Linked DNA regions of Callithrix jacchus. The protein of the gene in region 1 interacts with the protein of each later gene in a pairwise test. Links are inferred from orthologs where the notes say so. Each region holds a gene or a part of one and is shown in the gene's direction. Other genes may lie near its edges.

Region 1 (4,048 bases):
CCACTCAGCCTCCCAAAGTGCTAGGATTACAGGGGTAAGCCACTGCACCTAATCAGCATTTTTTTTTTTTTTGAGACAGTTTCGCCCTTGTTGCCCAGGATGGAGTGCAATGGCGCGATCTTGCCTCACTGCAGTCTCCACCTCCCAGGTTCAAGCGATTCTCCTGCCTCAGCCTCCCAAGTAGCTGGGATCACAGGCATGCACAACCACACTCAGCTAATATTGTATTTTCAATAGAGACGGAGTTTCATTCACCACGTTGGCCAGGCTGGTCTCGAACTCCTGACCGCAGGTGTTCCACCCGCCTTTGCTCCCAAAGTGTTGGAATTACGGGCGTCAGCCATCGCGCCCGGCCCATTCAGCATATAATTTTTTAGTGCCTACTACATGCCAGGCACAGTGAGATGTGGCACACATGCTGTGATAGCCTTCCAAGTTAACTGGAGGAGAAAGGGGTGACCAAACACTGCATGGGAGAGCTCTCCCTGGGCCCTGTCCAAGGCTGGAAAAGACTACTCTCACGAAGTGACTTCTGAAGGGAATCACAAAAGACCATGGGGAGTTGGCCAGGATAAGAGGAAAAAGGGCAAAAACCCCGAGGCAAAAGGAGTCTACAGCAGGCTGGAAGCCCTCTGGGGGCTGTGTGGGCTGCTGCTGAGGCCTGCGTGTGCCTGCAGCTTTAACGCCTTCCACATTTTCCCTGTATACAAACACCAGGCTACCAGGGGGCCCGCTTTAAGGTGGCCCAGACTGCGGAAGGCTGAACTCAGACGGCAGCAGTTGGCAGGAGTCCCAGAGGGTGAGTCCTTCAGAAGGTAAGAGCTCTAGAGGCTTCCCAGGCGGGGTACGGCAGGGGACGCCGAGCCCAGGACAAAAGTTTGCGGGGTCCACCTTAAGCGAGAGGCTGAGCCCGGCCGGGCCCCGCCCCGCGTAGGGGTGCTCGACCAAAGGAGGCTCAGGCGGGCGACAGAAGGTGGGTCCAAGGAGCCAGCTTCGAGTCCTAGCCTTCGGAGGCTCCACTACCATGCTAAGCCCCCGCCCTAGCTCCGCCCCAAACGGTGGGGCGTCCAGAGGCGGGGCGAGTCGCTCCACGCCCTGGGATTCAGATCCGCTCTAGCCGCCAGAGGCGCGGCCTGTCTCCCCCTGCTGAAGCGTTCACTTTAAGTCTGGCCGGGAGGCAGCTCCAGATCTCGCGGGATCCGAAGCCCCGAGTCTCGCGAGAGGGACAATCAGCTCCCATTGGCTGTGAGGGTTGAATGTAAGATGGCGCCCAGGGAGCTGTGAGGAGAAAACCCTGTCGGTCTTGGAGCTACGACGGCAGAACCGGGGTCCCGGGCGGTGCGGCGGGGCCAGCGGGTAGAGCGGAGGCGGCGGCGGCGGTGACGTCGCCGGGTGAGGGCTCCAGTGTGGGCGAGGATGCGGCGAGGCTGTGGGCCTGGGACGGCGGGCCCACCCCACACAACGGCGGGCGGGGGCGGGCGGGCCGCTACCGCTGGGCCTTGAGAGCTCGGGGCGGCTCCGGAGCTGAAAACGTCCCTGGGCTCGCGTACCCCGCCCTGCGAATGGGGGAGGGGTGGGCCGGGGATTTGGGTGGGCGCGGCGCGACATCGCGCGCTGGTGCGGGCGCGCGTCTAAACCTGTTTTTACGCGCGGGAGCGCGCGCGCTGTGCGGCTCTCTCGGTGCGCGTGGCCGCCGACGTGCGCGTTCCCCGCCCGGATATCTCTGCTCTCTGAGCTTTGGCCCGCGGGCAAGACAGGCTTTCCAGGGCGCGCGCCCGCCACGACCCCCCGTTTGGTGCGCGCGCCCTGATGTTGGGTGGCGGTGCTGCCTCGAGAGCGCGCAGGAGGCCTCTGCTGAGCGGAGGGCTGGCCGCGGCGCGTTGCGTGGGGAAGGTTGAGGATTGGGTCTTTTCTGGTCTGGTGACGTTTTCGGGCATCCGTGGCCTAGGCCTGGAGAGAAACAAACTAGCTTTGCTATCTGGCTTGCGGCTCCGCTCTTCCGTGAAGGGGGCGAGATCGCCTGTTCTCCTCTAATAATGCTGTTACTTGAGGCCCAAGTGCGGGGTGGGTGCTTGGGTAGGGTGCTTCTCTGCTTCAGAAACCAAGCCCTGTTGGCTTGAGAGGGCAAGGAGCCCCTTCGGGTTTCCTCACCTTGTACTGGGCTTTGTGCCGGGCAGGTACCTGCATATCTTTCATTAGAAACTAATACGTCCAGAAGCGCAGTTCTTACACGTCACCTCTGCGCTCCGGAAGGGAATTCTCTTATGTGGACGTTGTGAACTCTCTAAAATGCCACTTTAAATCCTTAAACGCAGTCTTTTCTTTTCCGTAGGTGGGAGGGGCTTACTTTAGTCTGTTATCCTAAGGGCCCACCATTGCCTCAGCCAAAAAGTTACCTTGAACAAAATTGAACAACCTGAGAATCAATGCTTTACCTTTTTTGAAATTCTAGAACTCTCCAGCAGAAATTTCTAAAATCTGACTGTGTATCGCTGTAAAAGTCACTTTTTGTTTAGGATTTCAATCCTTTTCAGCTCTTTTTTTTTTCACCCCACCACTGTGTTTTGGTGTCAAGGAAGTTCTAGGTTTGTCCTAGAGAATTATGCACTTTTTTTTTTCTAATACAAAACATCTGCTAGTTTATGATTTACAGTCTTGCTCCATTAAGCTTAAGGAAAAGGAAGCTAAGAGGAAGTAAACTTAGCAATCAAATTTGATAATGGTGGGGTAGTTCTTTCTAATGTACTGTATTTTTTTTAAGAACAAAGTTAAAATTATTAATAAAAAGAGGCTGAGGATGGAAGGAACTTTTTTGTTCTATCTTCTTCAGAATATTAGAAGTCTTAAGAACTCAGGACAAGCAACAGAAATACATGCAACATGGTGACTGGTGAGTTAAAATTGTTCATATGCTGGAAGTATGTGTGCATAGTTTTTTGTTTTTTTTTTTTTTTTTTTTGGTAATGCTGAAGCATTACAAATCCTGTCAATTATTCTGGGTGCTGTCTTCCAGAAACTGTTAAGTGCTGTAGAATGAAGATGTGGGAGAACAGCATCTTTGAATTCAGCCGCAGTTTGCTACTTGGGCACTTTTCTCCTCTGAGGATGCAAGTCAGTGGAACCCACAGATTTAAGCATGGCAAGGAATCATCTTTTAAAAGGACCTAAATGGTTCAAAGAAAAGCTGTAAAGTTTACACTAAACATTTTGATACTTAATATATTTTTTGAGACAGTCTCACTTTGTAGCCAGGACTGGAGTGCAGTGGTGCGATCTTGGCTCACTGCAACCACCGCCTCCTGGGTTCAAGGGATTCTTCTGCCTCAGCCTCCTGAGTGGCTGGAATTACAGGCCCGTGTTATCACACCCGGTAATTTTTGTATTTTTGGTAGAGATGGGGTTTCACCATGTTGGTCAGGCTGATCTCAAACTCCTGACCTCCTGATCCACCCACCTTGGCCTCCCAAAGTGCTGGGACTATAGTGTGAGCCACTGCACCCGGCCAAATTTTGATACATTTTTTGGGTCTGTCTGTTTTGAATTATCTTTGTTTTTAACTATTATGCTTGAGATCTTCCTTTGAAATTAGCGTTTAAAAATAATGTTTCTCAGCCGGGTGTGGTGGTTTATGCCTGTAATCCCAGCATTTTGGGAAGCCCAGGAGGGTGGATCACTTGAGGTCAGGAGTTCAAGACCAGCCTAGCCAACATAGTGAAATCCTGTCTCTACTGAAAATGAAAAATTAGCCAGGTGTGGTGGTGGGTGTCTGTAATCCCAGCTACTTGGGAGGCTGAGGCAGGGGAATGGCTCGAACCTGGGAGATGGAGGTTGCAGTGAGCAGAGATTGTGCCACTACACTCCAGCCTGGGTGACAGAGTGAGACTCCATTTCTCTCTTTTTTTTTTTTTTCCCCGCTCTTGTTACCAGGCTGGAGTGCAATGGCGCAATCTCGGCTCACCGCAACCTCCGCCTCCTGGGTTCAGGCAATTCTGCCTCAGCCTCCTGAGTAGCTGGGATTACAGGCACACGCCACCATGCCCAGCTAATT
Region 2 (3,517 bases), on another chromosome or scaffold:
CAACACATCAACTTGTATACCACATATATACATATATACAATTTTATATCCCAATGATATCTCAATAAAGCTGTTAAAAAAAAAAAAAAAAAGAGCAGATTGGGACCTGAACACAGGTCTCTCAACTTTCAAAGTCCATGACCTTCCTATTTGGTTAGGGGAAACCAAATTACAGTCATTTGCAATACTGTCATTCACATACTGTCTTCACTATTTTTTGCTTCATATGCTTCCATTGCTGTATCATGATTTACCGAAGGTTTTTTTTTTCTTTTAAATCAACTCATTTTTGATAAAGTTAAATTCTCATCACTAAAATGTTCACTGAGGAAGGCAATCATGAAATAAATCCAGTGAAAGCAAAATGTGGTTGAATTCTAACCAGATAATGTTGCCTGCCTAAGGGCCTCAGCTCTTTCATTATTAAAAGGGGAAGGTAGCAAGTGATAGAGGCTGAAGGCGTTAAAGGCATATTAGTACTTGGCTAAGACATTCCTTCAGATGTAAGGAGGAGCACTGAAAGAGAATTGAGGAGGAATTGCTTTTCCACCAGGTGGGTTTAACATACAAGTCACCTGGTGAGAGACCTTGGACATGTCTGTTTCTCTGAGCCTCAGTTTCCCCATATGTAATATGAGAGCATTGTCGTGGGCAATCAGGGAGATCCGTTGGGGCCCTGATACTCTGGTTCAATGACACTGCAATTTGTATGAAACTGCATCTTGCTATCAAGATGCCAACATGTAAGGCCAAAGATTGCACCATAATTCCCACACCACTCAGACGTAGATACTATTATTGCCCCCCTTTTTCTGCGAAGAAATAGTTTCAGAGAGGCAAGATCACCAGCCCCATGTTGTGTAGTCAGGAAGGGTCAGAATTTGAATGCAGGTTGGCCTGCCTGCAAAACACATGCTCTGGGCCAGGTACAGTGTGACAGTGTAGAGCATGTTTTGTGACCTGGTGTGCATTGGGTTGGCGTGCACATGGTTAAACAGTCAGCCCATTCCCGGCATTGGGAGGGAGATCTAAACTTTTGACCTTGTCTCTGCTTCAAAATCTTGACTTGGCAGCTTCCTAGTTCCCTCTTTCTCTTCCAAATGTGCTTCCCAGAAGCACCGTTGTTCATCTCCAAGGTTCCAACTTGGCAAGGAATCTCCTGAGTAGATACAGCTCATGTGGCTACAGGTTGCTGTACACAGAAAAAAAAAAAAAAAAAAGGAAAGGAAGGAAGGTAGGGAGAGAGGGAAGGAAGGAGAAAGAGAGACAGATAGAGAGAGAGAGAAAGAAAGAAAGAAACAGAAAGAAAGGGAGGGAGGGAGGGAAGGAAGGAGAAAGAGGAAGAAAATAAAGAGAGAAAGAAAAAAAGAAAAGAAAGACAAAAAAGGAAGGAAGGAAAGAAGGAAGGAGGGAGGGAGGGAGGGAGGGAGGGAGGGAGGGAGGGAGGGAGGGAGGGAGGGAGGGAGGGAAGGAAGGAAGGAAGGAAGGAAGGAAGGAAGGAAGGAAGGAAGGAAGGAAGGAAGGAAGGAAGGAGGGAAGGAAGGAAAACTCCCCAGCTCCTACAGAAAGTACTCCTGCCCATGATCAGGTATGGGCTTACCTCATGCCTTGGTTCTTTCATCAAGACCGTTGTATTTACAATATGCAGAATCAGCATGGACCAGTGAAAAGCTTTGATTGAACTTCCGAGCCTTCCTGCCATAGTCCTTTTTTCAAATGGCTGGTAACTGGGAGAGGCAGGAGAACATCACGGTCAGATACTCTGAGTTTGGAGACCAGGATTCCAATTCCATTTCCTATTTGCCATTTGCCAGCTGAGTGACCTTGGGCAAATTAGTTCACCTCTCTGAGCCTCAATTTCTTTGTCTGTGAAATGGGGATAGCAATGGAATCTTCCTGGTGGGATTATTCTTAACACCAAAATGATATGATTCAGCCAAAATAGCTGGCACATGGAAAAGCAGGTCATGGATTTCATGATTTAAAAAAAAAAAAAGGAACCTCATGAGACCACTAATATGTCCTCACAGTTTTAACAGTTTGTTGAAGAAACCAAATTATTGATAGTCTCATTCACTCCAAGAAATCCAAGAAACATAAAAATACCTTATTAGAACTTGGACCAGATTTGGATTTGGAAATCCCATCTTTGATGCTTTCTCACCGTGGAGCTTGTCATTTGATTTCCCCCCAGACTGTTTAGTGATCTGCAGCATGGGCATATTAATTATTACCTCTTAATCACCCTCTTATAATACTCCAACTAGGTGTCATCTATAATTTAGTTTTAAAAACAAGATAATTATGATCTGCTAAGAGATTGTATTAGTTCATTTTCACACTGCTGATAAAGACATACCTGAGACTGGGTAATTTATAAAGAAAAAGAAGTTTAATGGACTCACAGTTTCATGTGGCTGAGAGGCCTCACAATCATGGCAGAAGGTGAAAGGCATGTCTTACATGGCAGCAGACAAGAGAGAAAATGAGAATCAAGCAAAAGGGGTTTCCCCTTATAAAACCATCAGATCTCGTGAGACTTATTCACTACCATGAGAACAGTATGGGGGAAACGCCCCCACCCCATAATTCAATTCATTGGATCCCTCCCACAACACAGGAGAATGATGGGAGCTACAATTTAAGATGATATCTGGGTGGGGACACAGCTGAACCATATCAGAGATACTTAGGGCATGACCAAAATCAAGGCTTGTTTTTAATACCATAGAGTATGTTGCCATCTAAAATCTACAAGCAGCCAGCCTGGCCACTTTTGTCTGCCAAGGTGCCTAGTGCCTGCGTCACCACTGATGTATTCTGTGGGGAAGCACTTTCTAGCAAGCACATGTCAAATGAAAATGCATTGCCTGCTATGCATAACACCTTACTTGCAGTCTATAAAGGGGTCGTAGTGATGCCATTTCTGCTAGTAATTGTGGTTGGTAGTTGGTATTAACGTGAAGACTTCAACCTGGGACCAAACATGTGGGCCACAGCTTTCTTTTAAGTTAAGATCTACTGTTTAAACAGCATTTTACCATTTGCAAAGCATACTCAGTGACTCTGAAGTTCAAATACTCTACAAGTTCAATATTATTATCCTAATTTTGCAGACAAGGAAACAAGCTCAGAGCAATTGAGTGATCTTCCCAAGACCACACAGCTAGAAAGGGGTAGAGCCAGGATTCAAACCCAGCATTTTATGTCCCCAAAGGCTAAGCTTTTATCAAAAATATTTCCCTTCAAGTGAATAAAATAATGTTTAAGCTGTATTAACAGTAATAAATGAACAAAATCATGTTTCTCCTAGGCTTCCTGCAGAGGTGGATCCTGTGACAGTATTTGCCTCACTTTCCCCAGAGGGTCTACTGATCATCGAAGCTCCCCAGGTCCCTCCTTACTCAACATTTGGAGAGAGCAGTTTCAACAACGAGCTTCCCCAGGACAGCCAGGAAGTCACCTGTACCTGAGATGCCAGTACTGGCCCATCCTTGTTTTGTCCCCAACCCTAGAG
Region 3 (3,517 bases), on another chromosome or scaffold:
TCAGGCCCCCAAGTAGCTGGAACTACAGGCACACATCACCACACCTGGCTGTTTTTTGTTTTTTATTTTGAGTCTTTCTCACACTGCTGCCCAGGCTGGAGTGCAGTAGCAGGATCTTGGCTCACTGCAGCCTCCGCTGCCTGGATTTGAATGATTGTTGTGCCTCAGTCACCCAAATAGCTGGGGTTACAGGCATGTGCCACCATGCCCAGCTAACTTTTGTATTTTTAGTGGAGGTGAGCTTTCACCATGTTGGCCAGGCTGGTTTCAACCTCAAGTGATCCGCCTGCCTCAGCCTCCCAAAGTGCTGATATTATAGACGTGAGCCTTGTTTTGTTTTTGTGTTGGGGTCTCACTGTGTTGCCCAGGTTGGACTCAAACTCCTGGGCCCAAGTGATCCTCCTGCTTCAGCCTCTTGAATAGCTGGGACTACTGGTGCCTACCACTGCTCCAGGCTGGATAATCCTTTTAAAGGCTTTTTTTTAAAGTACCAGAATTCTAATTGCCTTTTCATCCTCTGGAAAGAGAACCTTGTAAGACACTTGAATTGTCAGAATTCCTTTGAGCTAAGGTTTAAAAGATTGCAGAAATTATTTAAAATGCTTCTAAATAAGCAGGTATAATTTACCCAGTGTGACTTTCCATAGTCTGGCTTTTGCTTTCCATTGAATCGTGAATCTAATCTGGTCTTTGAAAACCACTATTTTCTTTGTCCCATATTTTTGGAAAAATTCTAACATTCCACCAGAATTTAGACTTGACCCTGATATAAGGGAAAATATTTGGAGAAAATGCTGTTAACATTTTTTATAATGGTATTTATGGGTTTCATGGAAACCTGGTCTGTCTGTAAGAGACTTGGGAATGCTGATTGATTTCACATAAATGCAAAAAACCTCCATCTTTCCCTTCTTGTATTTAATTGGGATGTTGAGCCAGGAATTATCTTTTTTTTTTTTATCTTCCCAAACTGGATATGATAGCCGGGAATTATCTAAATGTTTTTTAGGATTAGGATAAACGAGATAATTTATTTTCTTTTGTCCTAGCAGTTAAAACAATGACTAGAAAATCCAGACTTCTGCTTAGTCAATGTTTTTCAACTATAAATTTCAAAAGGATAGAAAGAGATGGTTGGGGAACCTGTGGATTAAAAGACTTGAGTGTTGTTCATCCATTGCACTTTGCCAACATTTTGTAACTGGATTCAGACAAACGCTTTAAAAAATGCAAATAAGTAAATTTGAATTTTGACTGGGTATTTGATATTAAATGTTCGGGAGTTATGTTGGTATGATTCTTTATCTTTTTTTGAAATCCTTATGTAGGAGGTACATTTTGAAATATTTGTAGATGATATGATCTAGAACTCGTTTTAAAGTAATATGGGAACTAGTACATGTATAGGAGGTATAGATGAACTAAGACTTGCCGTGCGTTAATAATTAACGAAGCAGGGTGGTGTATAGGGAGGGGTTCACCGTAGTGTTCTGTTTCTTTGTATGTTTTAACTTCTCCATAATAAAGCATTTAAAAGATTTTAAAAACCCACCATCAATACATTGCCAGTATAATTTAACATGGATAGAACTTGCTGGAATTCTCTGTTTTATTTGTCTAGCTGCCTCTACAATCACTAGTCTTCTGGCTCAGTAACTGAGGGTCTAGTCTACTGATGAGCTCTCAGTTTCTGAGAGAGTGTGAGATGAGCCACTGCTGGCCCATTAGTAGCCACCTACATACCTATTCCTTTGGTGGTGTAGCTTTGTAGTTAACTGTGGTGATGGACCTGCCAAGTGGAATGTACATTTCAGAGGGGCCTGTCCTATTCTGGTGATTTTGGGTAAAAAGTTGAGACAATATTTTGCTTAACTCTTTGGTTTTTTGTTTTTTGAGACAGAGTCTTGCTCTGTTTCCCGGGCTGGAGTGCAGTGGCACAATCTTGGCTCACTGCAACCTCCACCTCCCTGGTTCAAGCAATTCTGCCTCAACTTCCCAAGTAGCTGGAATTACAGGTATGCACCATCATGCTCAGCTAATTTTTGTATTTTTAGCAGAGACGGGGTTTTGTCATGTTGGCCAGGCTGGTCTTGAACTCCTGGCCCCAAGTGATTCACCTGCCTCACTCTCCCAAATGCTGGGATTACAGGTGTGAGCCACTGTGCCTAGCCTGCTTGACTCTTTCGCCTAGGTATATTGGCTCTCTGAAATTCTCTATCTGGTTTTGAGTATTCTTTGTATATCAGGAAACTTAGTGTTGATTTTTGTTTTCACCAAATGTCATGAAATAGGGGACTTAAAAATATTTATGAAATTATTTTCTCACAAATGAAGAGTTGAAGATATTTCAGTAATAGCCCTGTTTATTCATATTTTTATTCATGAATGAATGATTATCTTCTGAAATCATGTCATTTTTACTTGGTGTGGGTTAGTTTTTGTCTGGGTCTTCTGTTTATCAGCCCTGATGACATGCAGAGAAAGGTGGTAGGTAGCCTGTCAGTCTCTGGGTCCCCTTCTAAAAGACAGTGGTTGCTTAAAGAATCTTGCATTTCTCAGATTTAACTTACTAGGAAGAGAAACCATTCTTCAGATTCTGTGTACTTGCTGAATTAATGTTTGTTGATGAATATTGTTTTTAAAGAATTAAGGGGGATTAGCTAACAAATTATATTCTAATAAAATAGGTTTTACCTAGTTAAAATATGGAAAAAGACTTAACATATTTTGTTCTGTGCTGATTTGGTGGGGGAGATTATGTGTGGTCACCTTAAATCATGAGAGTCAAGGTGATAGTCACATAGAATTCTAATGTGTCTTTCATCCCCAGTTAAGACATATGGGTGAAATGTTAGTGAACCTCCCCTACCCATCTGTTTTTCTGTTAGTTGTAGATTTGGGTGAAGCTTAAATTTTTGGCGAGTTTGGTCACATTAAACATGGTGAGTGTCAGTCTTGGATATTTTGGCGTCTGGGACATCATTTCTGTTTCTTACAAAATGTGGATTTGTACTTGGGAGGCTGAGGTGGAAATATGGCTCAAGCCCAGGAAGTTGAGGCTGCAGGGACCCATGACTGTGCCACTGCACTCCAGCCTGGGTGACAGAGCGATATCCTGTCTCAAATAAATAAAATAAAATGTAGGTTTAACATTCATTGTTTTTAACGTTCCTTTTTTTTCCCCCCGCTTAACCTTTTAGCTGGCAACCCTCTGGTCCAGCAAGGTGGACAGCCGCTCATCCTGACCCAGAATCCAGCCCCAGGTCTGGGCACAATGGTTACTCAACCAGTATTGAGACCTGTTCAGGTCATGCAGAATGCCAATCATGTGACTAGTTCCCCTGTGGCTTCACAACCAATATTTATCACTACGCAGGTGAGTAGGACTCTGAATTTCAAGGTTTCTAGAGGAGAGAAAGAATATGAACCTCTGAAAGCTCTGACTTAGGGTCTTTAGCACCATTAGTAGTAGTTCTAAGTCTTGTCTTTTGACCTTACTTTCTCATTTACCGTTCTG

What was found.
Region 2: the proteins of QRICH1 (region 1) and HSPB8 interact in binary tests that used the Homo sapiens proteins (3 or more experiments, as listed by UniProt). The two-hybrid records come from large-scale screens. The link is inferred for Callithrix jacchus from reciprocal best matches to the Homo sapiens genes QRICH1 and HSPB8.
Region 3: the proteins of QRICH1 (region 1) and POGZ interact in binary tests that used the Homo sapiens proteins (3 or more experiments, as listed by UniProt). The two-hybrid records come from large-scale screens. The link is inferred for Callithrix jacchus from reciprocal best matches to the Homo sapiens genes QRICH1 and POGZ.

The regions. Positions count from the first base shown.
Region 1 is NC_133516.1:31,711,824-31,715,871, reverse strand, and holds the start of QRICH1 (transcriptional regulator QRICH1), read left to right. Parts: upstream 1-1,238; 5' UTR 1,239-1,392; intron 1,393-2,161; exon of another isoform or gene 2,162-2,722; intron 2,723-2,830; 5' UTR 2,831-2,890; intron 2,891-3,013; exon of another isoform or gene 3,014-3,111; intron 3,112-4,048. UniProt on the Homo sapiens protein: Transcriptional regulator that acts as a mediator of the integrated stress response (ISR) through transcriptional control of protein homeostasis under conditions of ER stress.
Region 2 is NC_133510.1:122,299,918-122,303,434, forward strand, and holds part of HSPB8 (heat shock protein beta-8), read left to right. Parts: intron 1-3,313; coding exon 3,314-3,473; 3' UTR 3,474-3,517. UniProt on the Homo sapiens protein: Involved in the chaperone-assisted selective autophagy (CASA), a crucial process for protein quality control, particularly in mechanical strained cells and tissues such as muscle. Displays temperature-dependent chaperone activity.
Region 3 is NC_133519.1:11,337,125-11,340,641, reverse strand, and holds part of POGZ (pogo transposable element with ZNF domain), read left to right. Parts: intron 1-3,200; coding exon 3,201-3,376; intron 3,377-3,517. UniProt on the Homo sapiens protein: Plays a role in mitotic cell cycle progression and is involved in kinetochore assembly and mitotic sister chromatid cohesion.